Ovis aries: one gene and its partner. Each later gene encodes a partner of the first gene's protein in a complex. Links are inferred from orthologs where the notes say so. Each region holds a gene or a part of one and is shown on either strand. Other genes may lie near its edges.

The links. Proteins that work in one complex are often made in the same cells at the same time.
Region 2: the proteins of MFSD1 (region 1) and GLMP are in contact, whole or in part, in a cryo-EM structure (PDB 8R8Q), measured with the Mus musculus proteins. The link is inferred for Ovis aries from reciprocal best matches to the Homo sapiens genes MFSD1 and GLMP. Residues at the interface, in NP_080089.1 of Mus musculus: Val288, Glu292, Lys293, Arg295, Phe349, Phe351, Leu411, Asp412, Lys414, Gly415, Tyr416, Leu417, Leu418, Val421, Ile424, Ser428, Leu432, Val435, Leu439; in NP_064387.1 of Mus musculus: Glu250, Asn252, Ser253, Ile254, Asp255, Asp256, Glu257, Pro260, Ala261, Phe263, Gln264, Arg292, Phe364, Leu367, Val368, Ile371, Met372, Ala375, Ala378, Leu381, Met382, Gly385, Phe389.

Annotation. Positions count from the first base shown.
Region 1 is NC_056054.1:229,453,398-229,463,461, reverse strand, and holds the start of MFSD1 (major facilitator superfamily domain-containing protein 1), read left to right. Parts: upstream 1-1,246; 5' UTR 1,247-1,322; coding exon 1,323-1,494; intron 1,495-3,499; coding exon 3,500-3,552; intron 3,553-4,451; coding exon 4,452-4,564; intron 4,565-6,161; coding exon 6,162-6,204; intron 6,205-6,507; coding exon 6,508-6,575; intron 6,576-8,795; coding exon 8,796-8,904; intron 8,905-10,064. UniProt on the Homo sapiens protein: Lysosomal dipeptide uniporter that selectively exports lysine, arginine or histidine-containing dipeptides with a net positive charge from the lysosome lumen into the cytosol.
Region 2 is NC_056054.1:106,292,980-106,303,695, forward strand, and holds GLMP (glycosylated lysosomal membrane protein), read right to left. Parts: upstream 6,036-10,716; 5' UTR 6,003-6,035; coding exon 5,886-6,002; intron 5,434-5,885; coding exon 5,176-5,433; intron 4,967-5,175; coding exon 4,766-4,966; intron 4,642-4,765; coding exon 4,423-4,641; intron 4,034-4,422; coding exon 3,777-4,033; intron 3,663-3,776; coding exon 3,497-3,662; 3' UTR 2,116-3,496; coding exon of another isoform or gene 1,902-2,115; 3' UTR 969-1,901; downstream 1-968. Other genes in the region: TMEM79 (transmembrane protein 79), read left to right, coding at 1,902-2,115. UniProt on the Homo sapiens protein: Required to protect lysosomal transporter MFSD1 from lysosomal proteolysis and for MFSD1 lysosomal localization.

The DNA.
Region 1 (10,064 bases):
ATTTCACCTGTGAAACACTCATCTTGCCTGCAGACAAGTTGCTTCACTCCTGTCTGACGCTTTTCGACTCTATGGACTGCAGCCCACCTGCCGCCTCTATCCACGGAATTCTCCAGGCAAGAATACTTAATAGAGTGGTTTGCCATGCACTCCTCCAGGGGATCTTCACAACCCAGGGATCGATTTCATGTCTCTGCGGTCTCCTGCATTGGCAGGCAGGTACTTTACCACTAGCGCCACCTGGGAAGCCCGTTTCCCTTGCTCCATCCAGGATAGGCCCTCATCACCTCTAATCTTCCTAATATCTAGTAATCCTCATTGTTATTGAAGCTCTAGCTTTGTCACCCTCAAGAGTTCTGTCATGAAGCTGGGCAACCACCACAGGTCTGGCGTCCTTGCTGCTCTGCTAGAAATTTCTACCTTGCATGGCTCCTCATGAAACAAGCTTCGTCGTTCGTACTCTGGAGTTCCCGCTCTCATTCCCAGATCAACTCACTCAGTTGTTTCATGCTTGCATCTTTATTATCCGTAACGCTCCCCTCACCTCCAAAACCCACCCCTTCATAAAGAACCAAGACTGACTCATTCTTATTAATTCTAGTTTAGGTATGAACTTTCAGGATCTTTACTACTCCTCACCCCCTCGCCGTCACTTTCCCCTACAGCTGGTTAAACGGTACACTTACTCTCCGTTTCCCAAACGCCTTTCCCTGACATTCCGCTAGAATTCAGTGCTCATCTCAGCCGCAGTCCTCACTACACTCATTCATTCGCCATACGGTATTAGTTTCTGCCGCTCTCTCCAACTGAACTGTGAACTCTTTGAGGTCCGAGAGCTTGTCACATTCCACTTAGTTTCCCCAGTACCTGAAACACATCATAAGGTGCTCAATCAACTGTGTGTTATTAAGAGCAGCAAAGAAGCGGCGGAGAGCAATAGTAAGAGGAGCGCTGCGCGCGTTCTCGCGTCCTTCGCGCAGGTGGGATCTCGCAGGAGGAGCCTGGCGTCGGGCCCGACGGGAGGCCCGCACTTTCTCCGGAGGAGCGGCACGGAGTCGGCAGCGGGAGCAAAGCAGGAAAAGAGAGGACAGCGCCCCCCGCTTAGGAAGTTCCGAGTGAAAAACTCACGCCGCCGTTCCCCTTCGCGCCCCGCCGGTCCGGCCCACCGAGTACCACGCCCACTCACAGGAGCGTAGCCGTGCGTGATCTGCCGCGGCGTCACGTGAGCGGCTGCGGTCACGTGAGCAGTTTGCTCCGGGCTCCGGCAGCGGCTTCCTCCTGGAGTTGCACTCGCTGTCATCTCTCGGTCTCCCGCGGGCTCGATGGAGGACGAGGATGAGGAAGCGAGGGCGCTGCTGCCAGGCGGCTCGGACGAGGCGGGCAGAGAAACCCAGGCTGCCCCCGCTGCCTCCGGGGCGCTGCAGGCCCTCTGCGACCCCAGTCGCCTAGCGCACCGGCTCGTGGTTCTATTGCTGATGTGCTTCCTTGGCTTCGGTGAGCCGGCCGGCCTGGTGGGGTGGGACTGGTAATCAAGGAATTCCAGACTGTCTCGGAGTTGCGTTGAACTCCTAGGTCCTCCCGCTCTTCCTCCAACACCTTCGCGACCCCATTCAAGCCTGTTGCTGGCTCTTCAGTGTCCCGAAGGTGGGGGTCAAGGGACTGAGCCGAGCGACTTTTGTCCCACTCTCGCAAGAAGTTCCAAAAGCTAGCAATTTGCCTTCTGGGGCTATAGATACGAGAGAATCCTTAGATGTCAAGGTTCCTCTCAGGACACTTTGTTTAGAGGGAATTCAGAAAGATGTAATCCCCTCCCCCAAAGAAGCCTCCAAAAATACTTTAAAGTATTTAAAGAATACTTTAAATATTTTGATGGAAGAATTCGTTGGCAGTCGTTTATGTATCTCTTCCTCTTTGGCAAAAGGTATGAGTGTGTCTTGTTGATTGCTTCAGTGGGTAGATGTATTCTACTTCTCCCCTCTGCTAATCTGAAGCAATCCTACTGGACTGGACTTGTGCTGTTTGGTTTCAGTTACGAAATTTGGTGACTGTGAAAGCAGTTTCTGGAGATTAAAAAATATCCGCTTATTATGTCCCAGCAACTAATTTTTCCAGTAACATTCTGTGTCAGTATCAGCTTGGTGTGAAAGTAATAATGTATTTTTCGTGGACTCGCTTGATTTGGTGTAATCAACAGGTTTATGGTGGATACCTTTCTGCTACTGCTGGAATATATAAGTAGGCATGGAGGCTGCTTTGTGCTTTAGTTTCTTTGCATCTCTTTTTATTTCCCCTTCTTTTCACTTTGTGGAAAGATGGTGCCCATTCATTAATTTTGAAGCCTGACATTGATATTCCTTTGATAAGATATGATTCCTTTGACATTGATATGCCATTAAAACAGGATTCATAAAGTTCTGAGTTTAGGAACAAAAAATCGAGAACAACACAAAATACTTAAAATTGCCCCTACTTTAACAATTTATTTTTGGTGATTTTTATGTTTACCTTCAATGGGTTTCAGAAGCCAGAGTCATAACTTTTCTAATGACAATTTTATTTCTTTTGAACTGGTTGTTTCTGTGTATACTTCTAGACGGAGTTAGTGGAGAAACAGGGGCAGCATTATCTCCTGGCTTATCAAAACTCTGTTGATTTTATTACTGTAAAAAGTCCAACCTCTCTCCACTTCTTTCTTTCTGACCCTCCAGAAGATGTTACTATGTTTTAATTTAACCTTTTAGAACTCTGTTTTATTTTTCTTCATTCCTGGCTGTGTATCTGCTGAGTTATTTGATCTTGGATATACTGTTTGTGAAATTAGAATTCTTATTTTGAAAACAGATCTAATCAGAGTAGTTAAACTCCATTCCTGTGTGCTCAAGTGGTGGCTTTAGGTAACATTACTAGGAAACTACTGAGGATGTTTTGACGTGTGTGTGTGTGTGTGTGTGTGTGTGTGTGTTGGTAGCTTTAAGGAAAATATAGCTGTTTCATGAAGATGCTAATAAAACAATAGACATAGGAAACAGGATGAAAGTAAGGTGGAAAAGGGTCTTCCTCCGCCTGCAATGTGGGAGACCTGGGTTTGATCCCTGGGTTGGGAAGATCCCCTGTAGAAGGGAATGGCAACCCACTCCAGCATTCTGGCCTGGAGAACTCCATGGACTGTATAGTCCATGGGGTGGCAAAGAGTCAGACACAGCTAAGTGACTTTCACTTTCAAGGTGGAAAAACAGTTGTTGATTAACTTCTTAATCCAGGTTCCCAGTATTTGCTGTGTATGGAGGCTAATAATTTGTAAATCACTTGGTATGTTTTCTCTGGGTTATTTGGCTGCAACTTAGAAAGTATTAGTGGACAAGGAAGCAGTCCAAAAAGTTTCCAGTTTCTTTGAGTCCCTAGTATAAACATTTAAAATCACCACTGGAGTAGTAACTGCAACTTGAAACTTTTATATGGAAAGTATTACTAAAAAGAAATTTGCCTTTCCTTTTTCTAGGCAGCTACTTTTGCTATGATAATCCTGCTGCCCTTCAGATTCAAGTTAAACGGGTAAGTTGACTTTTCACCTGTTTCTTTTGTTGTCTCTGGAGCAGATATATAGCTGAAGCATCAACTCTCAGATTGCATGGTCCGAAACATTGTCTAATGAATCCATTTGAACATCTGTTGTCACCAAATCTGTGTAGGCAAGGAGTATTCTTGACTTGGAATGAGTGGCCACAAAGAATTCACTTATGGCACTTATGACTTAGTATTGTTTCATGCCTTAGATGAATAACTACTATTTCCACAGTGCAGCCCAAAAAGTATTGTGAATTTTTGTTGGCATTTCTCTCTCCCACTGTGTAATCATCAGAATGACAGATGATTTGGTAAGAGAGCATTTTGCTTTCTTAAGTATGTTATTGTCATTTCATTTTTAAAATGTGGATACTGATTCCAGAGGATTGTCTGTGTCAGTATTTTTGATATTTACAGTTTCCTATGTATTTAGATTTTTTTTTCCTTTGTAAGTTTTTTTTTTTTTTTAACATTTGGATAGGGAGAAACAACACAGATTGGCCCTTCACATTCTAGAATGAGTGAGAAAGACCAAGAATTAGTGAGGTAGGGGGAAAGGATATGCTAAAGATTGTTCTTTTTCATGTAGGTGAAGCCCTACAGCAGGTAGTACACAGGGAATAGAAAGGTAGAAGATACAAGCAGATGTAGGCAGAGGTGATCCCCATAGTGCAAGAGCTGATGGATGCTGAACCCCACGAGGCCTCTGAAATGACTGCAGACTCAAGAAGTTCCCAGGTGTGACCGTTTTTCTGGAGGTAGAGGCCAAAGCTGTTAGTAACAGTAAATGATTAAGAAATGCCTCCACTACCAGAAAGAATGTTTTGATTGTCAGTTGCTACATTTAACTGCTTTGAAAAAAATCATTTTGTTTTCTTTCCGTATAGGATATGCAGGTGAATACCACGAAATTCATGCTGCTGTATGCCTGGTATTCTTGGCCCAATGTAGTTTTGTGTTTCTTTGGTGGCTTTTTGATAGACCGAGTATTTGGAATACGGTAAGCTTGGGAAAAATCTCACTTATGGGTAAAGATGATTATTAAGAAAACATAAAACTAGATTAAGTATTTCTAGAAAGAACTGAATAAACTTTTATATTGAGTGTGTGACTCTGCATTTGTTTGTGTGTGTGTGTAATTTCGGTTTTTGAAACTTGGTTGGTATTTCAGTTAAATGCTGCTCATGGCATATGGTAACTCAGTTATCTAAAGGTAAATTATGCTCTCACTTGGAATCAGCAAGCCAGGTCTGATTTCTGTTGCTGCTACTTGCTCAGCTTCTTAGTTCTTCTGAGCTGTTCCTAGATTCCTGAGCCTCAGTTTTCTCATTGGTAAAATATGGATAGTATTTCCTGCCTTGCAAGGTGGTTATAAGGATTGAGGGAGATGGATGCGCAGTATTTGGCATGTGTTTACTGTTTACCTCTCCCAGCCCCAGTGAGATTTTCTCTTCTGCCTTTCTTTAGGCATTAAACTCTTTGTGACCACAGTTAGATGCTGAGGAAGGCATCACATTATTAGCTTTGTCAGTCTTCATCCTGATGATTGTGTGCTGTTTGTGGAGACTTTAGGAGGGATGTAGTCTGGAATATTTTCAGAAGGCAGAGGGCAAAATGACGATGGGCTTTCCAGCCGTGTGTGGTGAAAAAGAATTGAAGAAACTATATGTGTTTAAGCTTGGGGACTAACTTTTAAACACTCTGATGACTGTATAAAGGAGGACTTTAATTTGCTTGGTCTAAAGGGGTAGAATTTGCTTGAACTTGAAGGAAACAGATGCCATTTATGTGTGATGAAGATTTTGCTTGATCAGGATAACAGGAGAGGCCATGAGTTACTTTGGGAAAACTTTCAGTAGACTGTGGTATGACCATTTCACAAGGATTTTTGGAGGGACGTGGATTTCAGAAAGATGGTTTACTCATATGATCTTTAATGACTCTCCTAATACTGGTATTTTATTACTCTGGGGAAACATTAATGAGCTATTCAGAGTATGGAATGTTAGAGTAAGCAGATTTATATCATTTCTCATGGTCCCTGTTTTTCCTTTTAAAAATAGCTTTTAGTTATACAGAATTAATGGAGAAGGCAATGGCAACCCACTCTAGTACTCTTGCCTGGAAAATCCCATGGATGACGGAGCCTGGTCGGCTGCTGTCTATCAGGTCGCACAGAGTTGGACACGACTGAAGCAACTTAGCAGCAGCAGCAGCATACAGAATTAAAACCACTTAAAATTATTTAATATAGAATCCCTTGGAATCAACCCTAAACTCAGTAAAAAATTTGTGAAGAATGTCCATTTTTAAATGGGAACCCTGGGAACTTCTTGAACATTATTTAACAAGTTTTGTTTAAGAGATGATAATGGCTTAAACATGCCCTTACCAAAGCCTCTGGAATCCCTTTGGGATTAGAGACCTCTATGGATTAGCATTCAGCCTCGGAAAGCTGCTGATTTCAGAGGCCAACTAGAACCTCATTTTTCTTCCTTAGAGGGAATGCAGAAGAGTCTCAAGAAATCCAAAGTGAATTATTACTGAAGGATTTGGTGATAAACTCTTAATTCACTTTCTCTCTCTTTTTCTAACAGATGGGGCACCATCATTTTTAGTTGCTTTGTTTGCGTTGGGCAGGTAAGACAAATTGTTCACTGATTCACTGTGAACGCTGTCTCTTGAATTCTTGTCTACTTCACCAGCATGGATGTGTTTGGTGAAAGCCTAACTTGAGTAAGCAGAGTTCACAAATGCCCATGCGACATAATGCACAGTCCATTTTAAGCCTTGAGACAAATGAACATCGATACTTAAATTTCACAGATTTCCTAAGAAGAAACACTAAAATCATTGTAGAAGTTGTGTTTCATCATATGTTACTTATTTTGGATTCCTTGAATTTTCTTTTTCATTGATCCTACATTATATTCCATGTTATAGGTTGTTTTTGCCCTGGGTGGAATATTTAATGCTTTTTGGCTGATGGAATTGGGAAGGTTTGTGTTTGGGTAAGTTATGCATAATTTCATTTGTCTTAACAAATTACTGTTTTGGGGGCTTCCCAGGTGGCTCAGTGGTAAAAAATCTGCCTGCAGTGTAGGATAATTGCAGGAGATATGGGTTTGGTCCCTGGGTGGGGATGATCCTCTGGAGGTGGAAATGGCAACCCACTCCAGTATTCTTGCCTGGAAAATTGCATGGGCAGAGGAGCCTAGTGGGCTATAGTCCATGGAGCAAAGCATTGGACACGACTGAGCGACTGAACACACGCACACATTACTGTTCATCAATTTATTAAAGATTTGCCAGAATATATTATTGTATCTTCTGGAGAATTACTTCAAATCCTTGAAATCTACCTCTCTTTCTCTTTCTTTCTCTCTCTGTATGTGTGTGTGTGTGCATATATATATACACACACGGACACATACAACTGCTCAATTATTGTCTTAATTTTCCTTTCCAGTAAGCAACAATTTTGAGTGGTAATAATTAACTCTGTATAGGGTTTGAATATTAAATAGTTTTCCAGAGATGATGTTTTTCTTAGGTGTTTTGCTTTTCTGTTGTATTGAAGATTGTGATTTAAACCTCATGTAGAGAAGTATAGACTGTCAATTTCTAGCTTGGTGATGAATGGACATTTTGCTGTTTCTAATTGGGTAATGTGTAGGTCCTTTTGAATCATGTTGAAAAGACTTTAATGAGCAGATTACTAAAAGACCAATAGCTGTCAATGAATTTCCATGTCTGTTCTATAAGCTCATTCTCAATTCGGCCTTGGGCTTCCTGCCCGGAGGGATGCAGACAACCTAACTTACGCTTTTTACAGGTACCAGGGACATTTAGCCATAGGTGACACATCCCCAAAAGTGCTCTAAGTGAGGGAGAAGGGAAAAATGGTTTATTAAAATGTGAAAGGGACTCAGAGATAGATGTGTGATCAGAAATGGCCATCCATATAGGATGTGGATTCATAGAAGAGGGGAAATATTTTTAGATGAGGACAGTGGTGAGGAGGACTCAGTGTTTGGATGCAGAGAAGAGGAATCTCTTAGCTGAAGGTCAATATTTAGAACCTGCAGAAGGAAAATTAAAATCTGTAAAGTAGGAGAATGTCAAATATGGAAGATACTGGCCTAAAAAGTGTGAATCTATGTGTTTTCACAAAGTATGGACCACTCTTCCCAGATGAACATTTTATACAGCATAGATGATGATGTGGTAGCTCGAACCCCTTTTATTGCCAGGCAGAGTTGTCATTGCAGTATATTAAATTACCTGTACTTAGCAGTATAAAACTAGTAAATGCAGGTTTGTGTGCCTGATGCACAGTGAGGTACAGTGAAATGTAGGCGTTTAGAGCAGAGAAAGGTATATCGCAGAGCTATGCAAGGAGACGAGGTGGCTCATGCCCTAAAAAGCTTCACTCTCCTGGAAGGGTTTTGGCAAAGCATTTTAAAAGACAGACGAAGTGAGGATGTCTCAGGGTACCTGATCAGCTCATGCGCAATTCTGTTATTGGCTGATGATGGGTGGTGATGATGGGAGGAGTAGGGTGGTGTCACAGGGGTTAGCTGTATCAGCCCTTAGGCTCCCAGAGGCCTGGGCTGTGTGCTCATGGTCATCAAGTAGGTCTTCCTTTTGGTGGGGCCAGTTTTCACATCTGCAACACAACTCAGGAAATTTGTACCAAATACTATTATCTGTGTACTTCCGAGAGGAGCTGCAGCAGAGGATACAGGCAAAGGGCTGTCCCAGGAAGGCCCCATAGATCCTGGTCGGTTACAAAACCACCCTTACATCGTGGACTTCGTGGGTCAGGAATTTGGACTGGGTACAGTGTGGACAGTGTGTCTGCACCTGACGTCTGGAGCCTGGACCGGGGTGACTTGAGGACTGGCACTGCTGACTAGAGCACCTACACGTGGCCTCTCTGTGTGGCTTGGCTTTCTCATAGTGTGGCGGACTCAGGGTGCTTGGCCTTCTTACACAGTGGCTCAGGATTCTAGGTGTGAACGTTTGCGTGGAAAGGCAGATACCCCCTTTTCTATCCCAGCCCCACCTCCACCACCTTCTACTCATTGAAGCAATCACAAGTCCATCTAGATTCAGAGGAGGGGCGTAGATACTACCTCTTGACAGGAGGAGTGTCAAAATTTTATACCTGCTGCATTGCTAACTGTGGTATTTCTTTTAAAGCTGTGACTTTTCTTTCCTTGTTTTAGGATTGGTGGGGAGTCCTTAGCAGTTGCCCAGAATACATACGCTGTGAGCTGGTTTAAAGGCAAAGAGTTAAACTTGGTGTTTGGACTCCAGCTTAGCATGGCGAGAATTGTAAGTATGACATAACAAAGCCAAATAGGAAGCGAAAGATTGACTCTTGTAACCCTGTCTTAAAGATTACAGGATGAAGTATAGTTGTGTATAAGTTGTGTTGATTTTTTATATATTTTTCTAGACCATAATGTAGCATTTACCTTTAGTGAAGGCATTTCTAATCTTATTTCACCTAAGAGGAAGCAGTTTCAAATGCTAATTGAGCATTCATTAGTTCAGAGATTCTGAGCATTGGGACAGACGGATCACAGAGTTTTTATTCTTTACCCATTTTCAGCATTACTGCAGTGAAGGTCTTTATGTATGGTCATCCCGGCTCTGCTTGCACATTTCTAGTGCTAAGAAGCTCTGACTCATCTACTACAGTTAACTTTTTGTTTTTTAAACAAATTCTCAGAGTCGTGTCCCTTTATAAAAAGCGTCCAAATACATGATTATTATTCATTTGGCTGCCCTGGGTCTTAGTTGTGGCATACGGGTTCTTTACTTGCAGCACGTGAATTAAGTTGCAGCATGTGGATCTTAGTTCCCCAGCCAGGGATTGAACCTGGGTCCCCTGCATTGGGAGCATGGCGTCTTAGCCACTGGACTACCAGGGAAGTTCCAACTACAATTAACTTAGTGAAGCTCAGTCTCCCATAGAGATGAGATATGCCTGCACAAGTAGCTTTTACTGGTTGTTGGACTTCTGCCTTCTAGTGAGTGTTTATTTTCTGTCAGGCACTAGCATTTTGCTTACAAAGACAGATCTCAGGGTCTTGGTCAGACATACTCATTTCCTGTGCTTGTCTAAACCATGTGGCCTGGGTTTCAGTTCCCTGACTGTGGTGCTCCTGCCTCTCTGGACTTCACTGTGGTTGGTCATGCTTCTTCCAGCATTTGGAACGTGGAAAGGATCATGGTGTTTCATGATAGATGGTCTGGTAGAGGGTACCCAGGGGAGCAACATTCAGTTCAGTTTGGTCGCTCAGTCGTGTCCGACTCTTTGCGACCCCGTGAATTGCAGCATGCCAGGCCTCCCTGTCCATCACCAACTCCTGGAGTTCACTCAAACTCATGTCCATCGAGTCGGTGATGCCATCCAGCCGTCTCATCCTCTGTCGTCCCCTTCTCCTCCTGCCCCCAATCCCTCCCAGCATCAGAGTCTTTTCCAGTGA
Region 2 (10,716 bases), about 120 Mb from region 1:
CGGGGGCTTAGGGGTCCCACAGCATGTAGGACCATGCTTCAGCATCCTGGAGCAGGGGTCGAACCTGCGTCCCTGCACTGGCAGGTGGATCCTCAAACCACTGGACCACTAGGGAAGCCCTGTTATTTTCCATATAGGATTCCAGGTGGCTTTAACTGCTAAAGCATTCTTCCTATTAAGCTGAAATCTGTCTTCCTGTCACTTCTAAGTGTAGTCTAATGGTCATCTGTCCCGCCAGTCTCCTGACCGTCATACAGCCGTGCGTGTTCTTCCCGTGGATGTTTTCCAAGATTAATACGTTCCTGTTCATGTAACTCAACCTCCCATCTCCTTCTCAGGGAACGCTGATCTCAGACAAGAAGTTGGTTTACTTTGGTTTAAGCAGTAAGAATCATCAGGGAGCTAAAGGACCAGCGGTTGTCTGGGCCATCTTACCCATTTTACAGAGAAAAAATGACTATGAGAGGAAGTAACTACAGACTCGGTGAGAAGAGTTGCATAGGTCTGTCAGCAGAGGCAGGACTAGAACCCAAGTCCCTTCCCTCTCTCACCCAGGGTCCTTCTTTATGGGCAAGTTACTGGCAGCATGTACTCTTCCCTTTATTACAAAGGTAAAAATATAGGGGCATCTCAATTCTGTCATAGATGGTCCTTTGTAAGTTAAGAGGAAACTGCTGCCCTCCTCCCACTGAGGGGTGTGTATATTTGGATGGATCTTCCAAAAGGGGAAATTTAGTTGCGCCTGATTCATCCCTCTGGTCCTCAAGCTCTCTTGAAGCTGGCTTCCTTACTCTCTTCTTTCCCTCAGCCCCTGTAAAATGGCAGGAGAGAGGCTGATGAACAGGCATGGGTTCAAATCATGATTTTACTGTTTCCCCATATGTGACGTTGGACCCGTCTTAATCTTTTGGAATCTTAGTTTCTCCATCTACAAAAAGGGAAATAAACACAATGGAATGTACTGTAGCTGCGAAATAATGAAGCTCTTTATACACTGATACGACACAATTGCTTCTCAGGTGGGTCAGTGGCAAAGAATCCACCTGCCAGTGTGGGAGATGCAGGAGATGTGGGTTCAATCCCTGGGTCGGGGAGATCCCCTGGAGGAGGAAATGGCAACCCACTCCAGTATTCTTGCCTGGAAAGTTCCATGGACAGAGGAGCCTGGTGGGCTACAGCCCATGGAGTCTCAAGGAGTCGGACACAACTGAGCAACTGAGCGCACACACACACACACACACACACACACACAATGACATAATCTCCAAGATGCATTAAATGGGGGGAAAAAGTCAATGTGCAGAATAGTCTCTATAGTATGCTCAGTTCAGTCGCTCAGTCATGTCTGACTCTGCGATCCCATGGAATAGTATGCTCCCAAACCTCAAAAAAAAAAAAAAAAAAAAGAGGCAGGGGAGGAAAACATAAGTTTTCTTGCTTATATACACAGAAAGCTTCACGACATACGAGAAGCCATAATAATGGATGATGTCTGGGGTGGGAGTAGAATAGAGGTGAGGAGGTGAAGAAGAGAACAGAGTATCTGGGAATCAGTGGAGGAAAACGTTTTACTACATTCACTGGTGCCTTTGAATTCTGAACCGTGTAAATGTATATTGCCTACTCAAAACTTTTTAATTCGAATTTGAGAAGTATACAAAGAGGCAGGTGAATAATATGCACGCTTCATAGAGATGTGAGGTCTAAATTAAATAGTGCCCCTAAAGTAATTAGTACCGTGCCCGGCACATACGTCAGTGCGTGAACACTGGTTGTTTTTAGAGGTATCAGTTGTGCCAGCCAACCCCCATCTGCCTCCCTCACTTCCCACTCTCCCTATCATCAACCTGTTAGCTGATGCACTCCCCTCAAGGAAAGCTCGACCTTTTCTTGCCTCCCAGGCTCATATACTGGCTGACCTTCGCTGTGGGCCGCTCCTTCCGAGGCTTTGGCTACGGCCTGACGTTCCTGCCTCTGCTGTCCATGCTGATGTGGAACTTCTACTACATGTTCGTGGTGGAGCCTGAACGCATGCTCACTGCCTCCGAGAGCCGCCTGGACTACCCTGACCATGCCCGCTCAGCCTCAGACTACAGGCCCCGCTCCCGGGGCTGAGCTGCCCCACCCCCTTCGTTCCTGGGTGGGATGAACCCACCTACTGCCCCGACAGGGGTGCCATCCAATCAGAGTGTGGGGTGCTCCCTTCATCTTAGGAGCCTGGGACAATTATGTGGGAGGGACTTAAACAGTCTTTCAGGGAAAGAGGTGGACAGCCATGTTCCTTAAGAATGCTGAGGACATGGGACCAGGGGCAGAGGCATGGTTCCTTCCTTAGTAGCCTCTGCTGCCACCAGGGTCCACAAAGACTGGACTCTGCTGCCCACTCTGCAGCCTCCTGCTTGAGGCAGCTGGCAGAGCACAGCCGAAACTCTGACCTTTTCTGTGCTGGCTGTCTAAGCAGAGGGCCTCCAAGAGACTGGAAACATTGCCTATGTCTTAGGTAAAGGCTGGGCATCACATCAAATAGGACTTTCCTGTTTGGTGAAAACCCTTCTGGGGACCTGGGTTCAGGACCCTCCATGACTGGCCTTCCTAGGCCCTTTAGCCTCAGCCAAGTCAGTTACAGCTGCTCCAGCCCAGAGTGGCTGACTCCTCTCTTCCAACCCTTTAGGTCCCTGTAACTTTGCACCTCCAAAGTGCCCAGTCATCTCTCTCCTGTGGGAAGAGGAGCAGACAGGGAAACCTGCTTCCTAAGAGGTGTGTGTGTGTGTGTGTATGTGCGTGCATGCCCACACGCACATGGCTGGGAGTGGTTGGAAAGCATGGTGGTTGATGTTAAACCCGTCTGAATGTGTATATAATAATAAATGATTAATACCACAGTCTTTCTTGGCTCTTCCGTAGGGTTTGCCCCTCAACCTCAAGTGTCCCTTCCTTGTTTGATTCAAACTGCACCAGAAACCTCCCAGCTCCACATATTGAAGAGTGGCTGGCAGGAGCCTGGTCCCATGGCAAGGGAGAGAACTAAGCCTGATGAGGAAATGGGGCTTCAAAAAGAACTTGCCTTCCACGCCCCACCTCCAGCCCTCTCATTCCCTGGAACCAGGTCCAAACCTGCCCAACAATGCACCACATTGAGAGACAAGCCCTGTGGAAAAAAAAAAAAAAACTATTCTATTTCATGCCTTCCAGTGCAGCAAACAGTCAGAAGGCCTCTCTCATTTAGGCCTGTGAGTCCCATTCAAGGGAAATGGGATGGTGGAGGAACAGGGAGGCAACACGGAGGGGACCCTCCCTCTGGCAATCATTCTGTGTCTGGTCCCTCCTCAGAGTTGGAAGGAAGCCCCACCTGGGTCCCCCAGGAAGTTGAGGCTGATCCGAGGTTCTACCGAACAGGAAGATACAAAAGAGGAGGAGCTGCCTGGGAATACTGACCCTCAAACCTGCAGACCAGCAAGGCAGGTCCAGTAATGTCCTTTCCTCTAGAGAGCAGGCCTCAATTTATGGACTGGTATTCAGAGTCCCGCTTGCGGCCCAGCAGCAGAAACAGGCCTCCTGCCAGCAGCGTGAGTGCTGGGGCACCTAGGGCCACTGCCATGATGCCTAGGACTAGCGGGGACAAGGCATCCACTGGAGGGCTGCCCACACCCAGGAGCATGGACCTAGAGCAAGCAGAGTGAGAGAGAGAGAGAGTCAGGCTTAGGAGGGAAGGCTGAGAGGCCTAGCCTTCCTCCTCTGCAACCTCCCAAACCCACAGCCCAGGCCTCGACTCTCACCAGCTGAGGTAGTGTTGGTCCCAGTAGCCAGGGCCTGTGGGAGCCCCAAATGTCAGATTGAAGGCACAGGAGTGGTCCTGGGTCTTAAAGAAGGCTCGGACAATGGGCGACTGGGGGAGAAGGTATGCCAAGGTGGGGTGAAGTGGGGAAGATTGGCAGGGCATGGCGGAGTCCCGGCTGCCCTGCTTCTGGGAGAAAGCCACTGGTCGCCACTGCATGAAGCCTGATGGGAGGGAGCCCCACAGCAGCTGGTCCAACTGAGGAGAAATGCAAACACACAGGTTGAGGAGGACAGAAGATACTTGGCCATTCTGTTCCCCCGCCCTTTCACAGCCTCCCTCTGTCACGAGCGGTCCTGAATCCTAGGCCTGGTTCTAGAACTCGCAGCTGGGTGGCGCCGAGTCCTTTCCCAGTCTCAACACTCAGCAAGCCTGCACCAGCTCCCCACTCTGGGACCCCAGGCCCTTGCGCAGCCCACCGGTTGGAGCAATAGTCACGCTGCGCCGCCTTTCCTCTGGGCTAAATTCATTAGCAGAGCGTTCAGCACTTAAAGGAACTGAATGAGGTGTTGCTAAACAGTGAGTTGTTGAATGATAGAGTCCCCTTTCACACCCCCACCTGTCTGCTTCTCTGCCGGAAGCCTCACCTGGAAGACAGCGGGGGCGTACTCGTCATCGATGGAGTGCTGCTCCTGCATTGAGGGGCAGCCAGGGCCCTGGCCCAAGGTGGCTACCTCCAGCCCAAACAGGGAGCGGTTTCCCCTGGGAGAGGCCCCAACCAGGGCCACCTCTAGCTGGCAGGTGTCCGCCGAGTGCAGGAGGCGAGGGGGTTGGGCTGGTCGGCCGGATGTGGAGAAGGCCTGGACCTAAGATGGAAGAGGCATGGGAGAAGTGGGAAGCGGGTGGATGCCTGTGTTTGAAGGCGACCCCTATCATTAACTCCCACCCTCATAAACCAGCCTTTCGAGTTCAAATTCCCTATATCCTTACCCTGAAGGCCAGGCTGCCATTGGCAAAAGCCCCAGTGGGGTCGTGAACGGGGTGGCCTCGAAATGTGGCACTGAGGGTGGCAGGATCCAGCGAGTCAGTGATGTTGTTCCAGGAGAAATTGGCCAAGGAGTACGGAGGATATGATCTTCCTGGAGGCCTTGAGGCCGCATCGGACATATTGGTGCTGTCAAACTCAAACAGCTGTGGGGGGAGAGGGGGAGGGGTGGGGAGGGACAAGGTTTGCCCGAGTCCACCTTTCTCCTGAATCACCACCCCGCACTCACTGGCCCCACCCCAGGCTCTCGCACATGACTCTACTTCACCTACTCCCAGTCTTCAATTTCTCCCTCTAACTGGAATGAACCCTCTCCTCTGCACTCTTCCCCTTGGATCTCCCCCAACCTCCTCACCCTGGTAAAGACAAGGGCAGAAGAAAATTGGATGCTCTCCTCGGGGAGCACCATCAGGCCCCCGTCAGGATCAGAGGAGAGCAGGAGGCTCCAGTTGACACTCAGGGTGCTGTTGGGGGTGTTGGTGGCCACCAACAGCACTGCTGGGGGACCCAGGCTGCTCCACACATAGTGCAGCGTGGAGTTGGTGCCCACTGCCCGAATATGAAGCAGGTTCTGGGAAAAGTCCGGCACGTTAGAGATGACCTTCAGAGACACCTGGAACAAGGAGTAGAGGCTGGTCAGGAGAAGAGGGTCAGGGAGAGACACAGGACAAAGATGTCTGGGGATGACAGGGGGCTTGCAAAATGATGGGAAAAGAGTGCAAGAGGAATGTTTGTGGGAGCTAAGAGAACCTTACTGTCAAGGGCAGACATGGGCTGGAGGAGAAGCAGGGAGAGCCCAAAATGCCCTAACCCTGGTGGAGAGGTCAGGGCATACGGCTGAGAGGAAGGAAAAAATGCAACACTTGCTTGGACCTGGCTCACTCAGGGCTAGGTCAGGGTCCAGGTTCTACCACATCCGTCCTACTCCATCGTCCTGTACCGTGACCCACGGCTGCCCCGATTCCTCAACGCAAGCACCTTTCATCCCCACCCTTCCGTTGTCCTAGATTCCAACCACCCTTCAAGGCAGCATATGCTGAAACACCTACTGCTCTAGCCCCTCACCTGGCGGGTCTCCTCCCCCAGCAGGCCAAGCGGAGCTGCCGTCAGTAGACTCAGGAGGAGCACGGGGCTGGGGGCACAGAACCCCCAACCCCGGCTAGGCTTTTCATAGCCGCTCATGTGGTCCCGAATTCAGAGAGCGGAAGAGACGCTGAAGTCATGTGACTCACAGATTCAGCTGATCTCTTAAAAGGGCGGGGCTGTCACAACAGTTCTTAAAGAGTCCGCCTCCCTTCCGTATTTGACTTAATAGAATCAGAAAGGTTAGGAGTTTGTCATCCACACCTGAGCTGGCAAGTAAGCCGTCTTAGACTAGATTTGCAGACACACTCCTAACCTCTCCTACCCAACTGGTTCCACTAAAGTTATCTACAAGGGGGCATGATATCTGGATTCAAACATCCAATGGAATCTACAGGAAGACTGTGGCAGGGAAGGCACAGATAATTTGAAACAATTCAGTGGGGGAATAGCACATCTCAGAGGGTTCTTTTTGTCAGTTATCAATAATTATTGAGCCCCTGGCTATGCAGGGTCTTGTCTTGGAAGACAGCTCACAATTTTACTGTGCAGAAAAGAAACCTCAGAAAACAAGACATGAAAGTGATACACAATTGTCATAGAACTGAATACATAACTCAGAGCATGCCTGGCTGAATGAACGCGCTTCTGGTTTTTCTTAATCCTAGTCATTTTAGCTAAGAAAAAATGCACACGGTACAGTATTTATAAAGTACCAGAGGATATCAGCAACCTGGGTCCTTCCTTGAGACAACCATTATTACCAGTTTCTTATGTGTCCTTCCTAAAATATTCTGTGTGCTCATGTTTATGTATTCCTTTTTCTGGCCACACCACATGACATGTGGGATCTCAGTTCCCCAACTAGGGATTGAATCCATGCCCTGCAGTGGAAGCAGTCTTAACCACTGGACTGCATATATACATACATATTTACTACTACTATATACACACATGTGGGTAATAAGATACCATGGAATCCACTGTCTAGAAATTTTTTTCACATATATTGAGGACTATTCTGCCTCTCTCCAGTCTTTCATTGCAAGGGGGATATTCCACGGATATACTTAGCCAGAACCTTGATAGTATCCAACATTTTGCTACAGGCAAAAAACACTGAAAAGAATATCCCTGTATGAACAGCATTTCATATATATTTGTAACCAAATCTGTAAGATTAATACTCAGGAGCAGAATTGCCTCCAGTTGCCTTCTATGAAGTTCAATTGATTACACCATGTTTGAGGGCCCATTTCCCCAACACTTTGACAAGTGCTTACCAAACAATTTGCATTTCCCGATGAATAAAATGAAACACTTCTCCATGTTTTATTAGTCATTTATTTTTGCTTCCCTGGAACTATTTATACCTTTTGCCTATTTTTCTGAGTCCCTATCATTCATTCATTTATTGCCACACAGCACAAGATCTTAAGTTCCCTGACCCATGATGGAACCTGCACCTTTGGCAGTGAAAGCATGGAGTCTCAAGGAGTGCCAGGGAATTCCCCTGCTATGTTAAGTGTATAGTTTAAGATTTACTTTTGACTGTGCTGGGCCTTTGTTGCTGTGTGTGGGCTCCAGTAGCTGTGCTCAGGCTTGGCTGCCCCAAGGCATGTGGAATGTTCCCAGACCAGGGAACTCATGTCCCCTGCACTGGCAGGCAAATTATTAACCACTGGACCATCAGGGAAATCCTGATGAGCGTATTTTTAAACCTCATGGTTTTTTAGTGCTCTTATATTTAAATCTTTCAGTTGCCAGAAACTAATTTTGCTGTAAGAAACAAAGAAAGGATCCAGTTTCATTTTTTTCCCTCTGATGGCTAGTCTAGGATAAACTCAAGTTTCCTTAAAATTTTTCATTTTTTTTTTCTGACCATGCTACCCAAAGCAACCTATAGATTTAATGTGATCCTTATCAAATTAGCCATGACATTTCTCACAGGAATTAGAACAAACCCTAAAATTTATACGGAACCATAAAAGACCCAGAACTGCCAGAGCAATCCTTAGGGAAAAGAACAAAGCAGGAGGGACAACCCTCCCAGACATCAGACACTACTACAAAGCTACAGTAATCAAAACAGCCTGATGCTGGCACAAAGACAGACATATGAGTCAATGGAACAAGAGTCCAGAAGTAAACACATAACACCTACGGACAACTCATCTGTGACAAAGAAGGAAGAATATAGGATGAAGAAAAGCATCTTCAGCAAGTTGTGTTGGAAAAGCTGGACAGTCTCGTGTAAATCAAAGAAGGTAGAACACACCTCATACCATACACAAAGTGAAAGTGAAAGTCAGTCGTGTCTGACTCTTTGCGAGCCCATGGACTATACAATCCATGGAGTTCTCCAGGCCAGAATACTGGAGTGGGTGGCCTTTCCCTTCTCCAGGGGATCTTCCCAACCCAGGGACTGAACCCAGTCTCCTGCATGGCAGGCAGATTCTTTACCAGCTGAGCCACAAAACGAACTCAAATGGCTTACAGAAAACATATGCATGTGAAAATCGCTTAGTCCTGTCTGACTTTCTGTGACCCCAAGGACTGCAGTCCCCAGGGCTCCTCCGTCCACGGAATTTTCCAGGCAAAAATACTGGAATGGGTTGCCATTTCCTTCTCCAGGGGATCTTCCTAACCCAGCGATTGAACCTGGGTCTCCTGCATTGCAGGCAGACTCTTTTCCATCTGAGCCACTAGGGAGGTGGCAGACAATTTAAAGACATCATAAAACTCCTAAAAGAGAACATATGCCAAACATTCTCTGCCGCAAATCACACTGATGATTTCACAGGGTAGTCTCCCAAGACAACAGAAATAAAAGCAAAAGTGAACAAATGGGACCTAACCAAACTCACAAGCTTCTATACAGCAAAGGAAACCAGAAACAAAACTAAAAGACAACCTACGTACTGGAAGATATTTGCAAATGATGCGACCAACAAGCGATTAATTTCCAAAATATACAAAAAGGTCATACAACTCCACTGCAAGGAAAACACCACCCAACTGAAACGGGCAGAATACCTGAACAGATGTGTCTCCCAAGAAAACATACAAATGGCCAATAGGCAGATGAAAACATGCTCATCACACTGTTAAAGAAATGCCAATCAAAACTAGATTAAATCAACTATACTCCAATAAAAATTATAAACTATGAGCTTATATATATAGATACACACACACACCAGTCACCATGGCCATGTCACACCAAAAACATCTACAAAGGGACTTCCCTGGTGTGGTCCAGTGGTTAAGAATCTGTGCTTCCGGTGCAGAGGGTATGGACACGATCCCTGGCCAGAGAGGCAAGGACCTGCATGCTGTGTTGCACGTCCAAAAAAGAAAAGGAAAAATGACACAAATGAACATACTTGTGAAACAGAAACAGACTCACAGACACACAGAACGGACTTATGGTTGTCAGGATGGACAGAAGGATTGGCAGTCTGGGACTCGCAACATGCATACTACTCTATGTGGAATGCATAAACAAATCCTTCTGTACAGCACAGGGAGCCACACTCACTATCCTGTGATAGAGCAGAATAGAACAGAACAGGAAAAAGAATATACACCAATATAAGTCACCCTGCTGTGCAATAGAATTAACACTGTAAATCACCTATACTTCAAATTTAAAAACCTTGAGAAAAAAAGTTGCACCCTCTCAAGTGTCACCTGTAGACTTGACAAGTGAGGATATACGAAAGTGTCTTGGCTGAGTACATGGTGTTTAACAGGATTCAAGGCTCTTCCCATCCCCAAAACACTGCTTTATGAGGGGGCAGGTGCAGAATAGAATTTAGTTGAATCCAGGAATTTGCCAGAGAATCATGACAAAGTCAAGGTGGCAGCAAAAACTGTGCTCATGGAATCACTTTAGAGCCCAGGCAGGCAACATAGTTGCTTGGGTAGACTTTAATGACTTAAATTTAGGCTTTGAAAAGCACAAAGGGGCTCTGAAAGCTCTGATGAAGGACAGAGATTGATCTAACATTCCAGGAGGAATTTCCATAGGTTAGATACTATGTACAATTAATTATCCATGTATTTAACCATTAGATGTAAAACCAGAATGGACCTAGAAAAGTGTAAAGAACAAATGGGAGGCAATTCCTCCCTCCATTATTTTTAGGTCTTTTAAGCACCATCTCTTCAAGATCTTTGAGAATTAACTCATTATCTTTCTTAATGTCTGAAAACTCTTGACGGAATTAACTCTTCATGTAGAGGCAGGGATTTCAGCAAAAGGTGGGTAGGCTTATTTCAGAGCCTCTCATAGAAAAGGAAAAGCTCAAAATTTTAGACCGGGTTAAGCAGCAAATTAAATACCAGGTGTGATGAGAGCAGATCTCCACAGGCCCTTTTCCATAGCACACCTCTGTTCAGTCATCATTGCTAGTTGTAAATGCAACTTTAGAGCCAGACCATCTACCCAGGAATTCTAGGCCTGCCACTTATCATTTTTGTGACCCTTGGACAAATTACTTTATGCTTTGGATTCCTAATAAAACAGGGTTATTACCCATCTTACAGGGTTCTTTTAAGGACTGGCTAATACATGCGAAGTGACCAAAACATACCCATTCTACAACAAGCACTATGTGCTAGCCATTATCATGCCACCTGGTATTAAACTTAGTAATACTAACTCTTGTAGTCACGGAGGAGATACAATCTGGTGGCATGAGTCATGAGGACAGAAGGAATGGGACAGCGTAGAGGAAGGTCTCTGAAGAAATCAAAGGCTAGCCCCACCTAGCCTCCAGAGTCTCAGGGTCACAAGACTTTTTTTTGT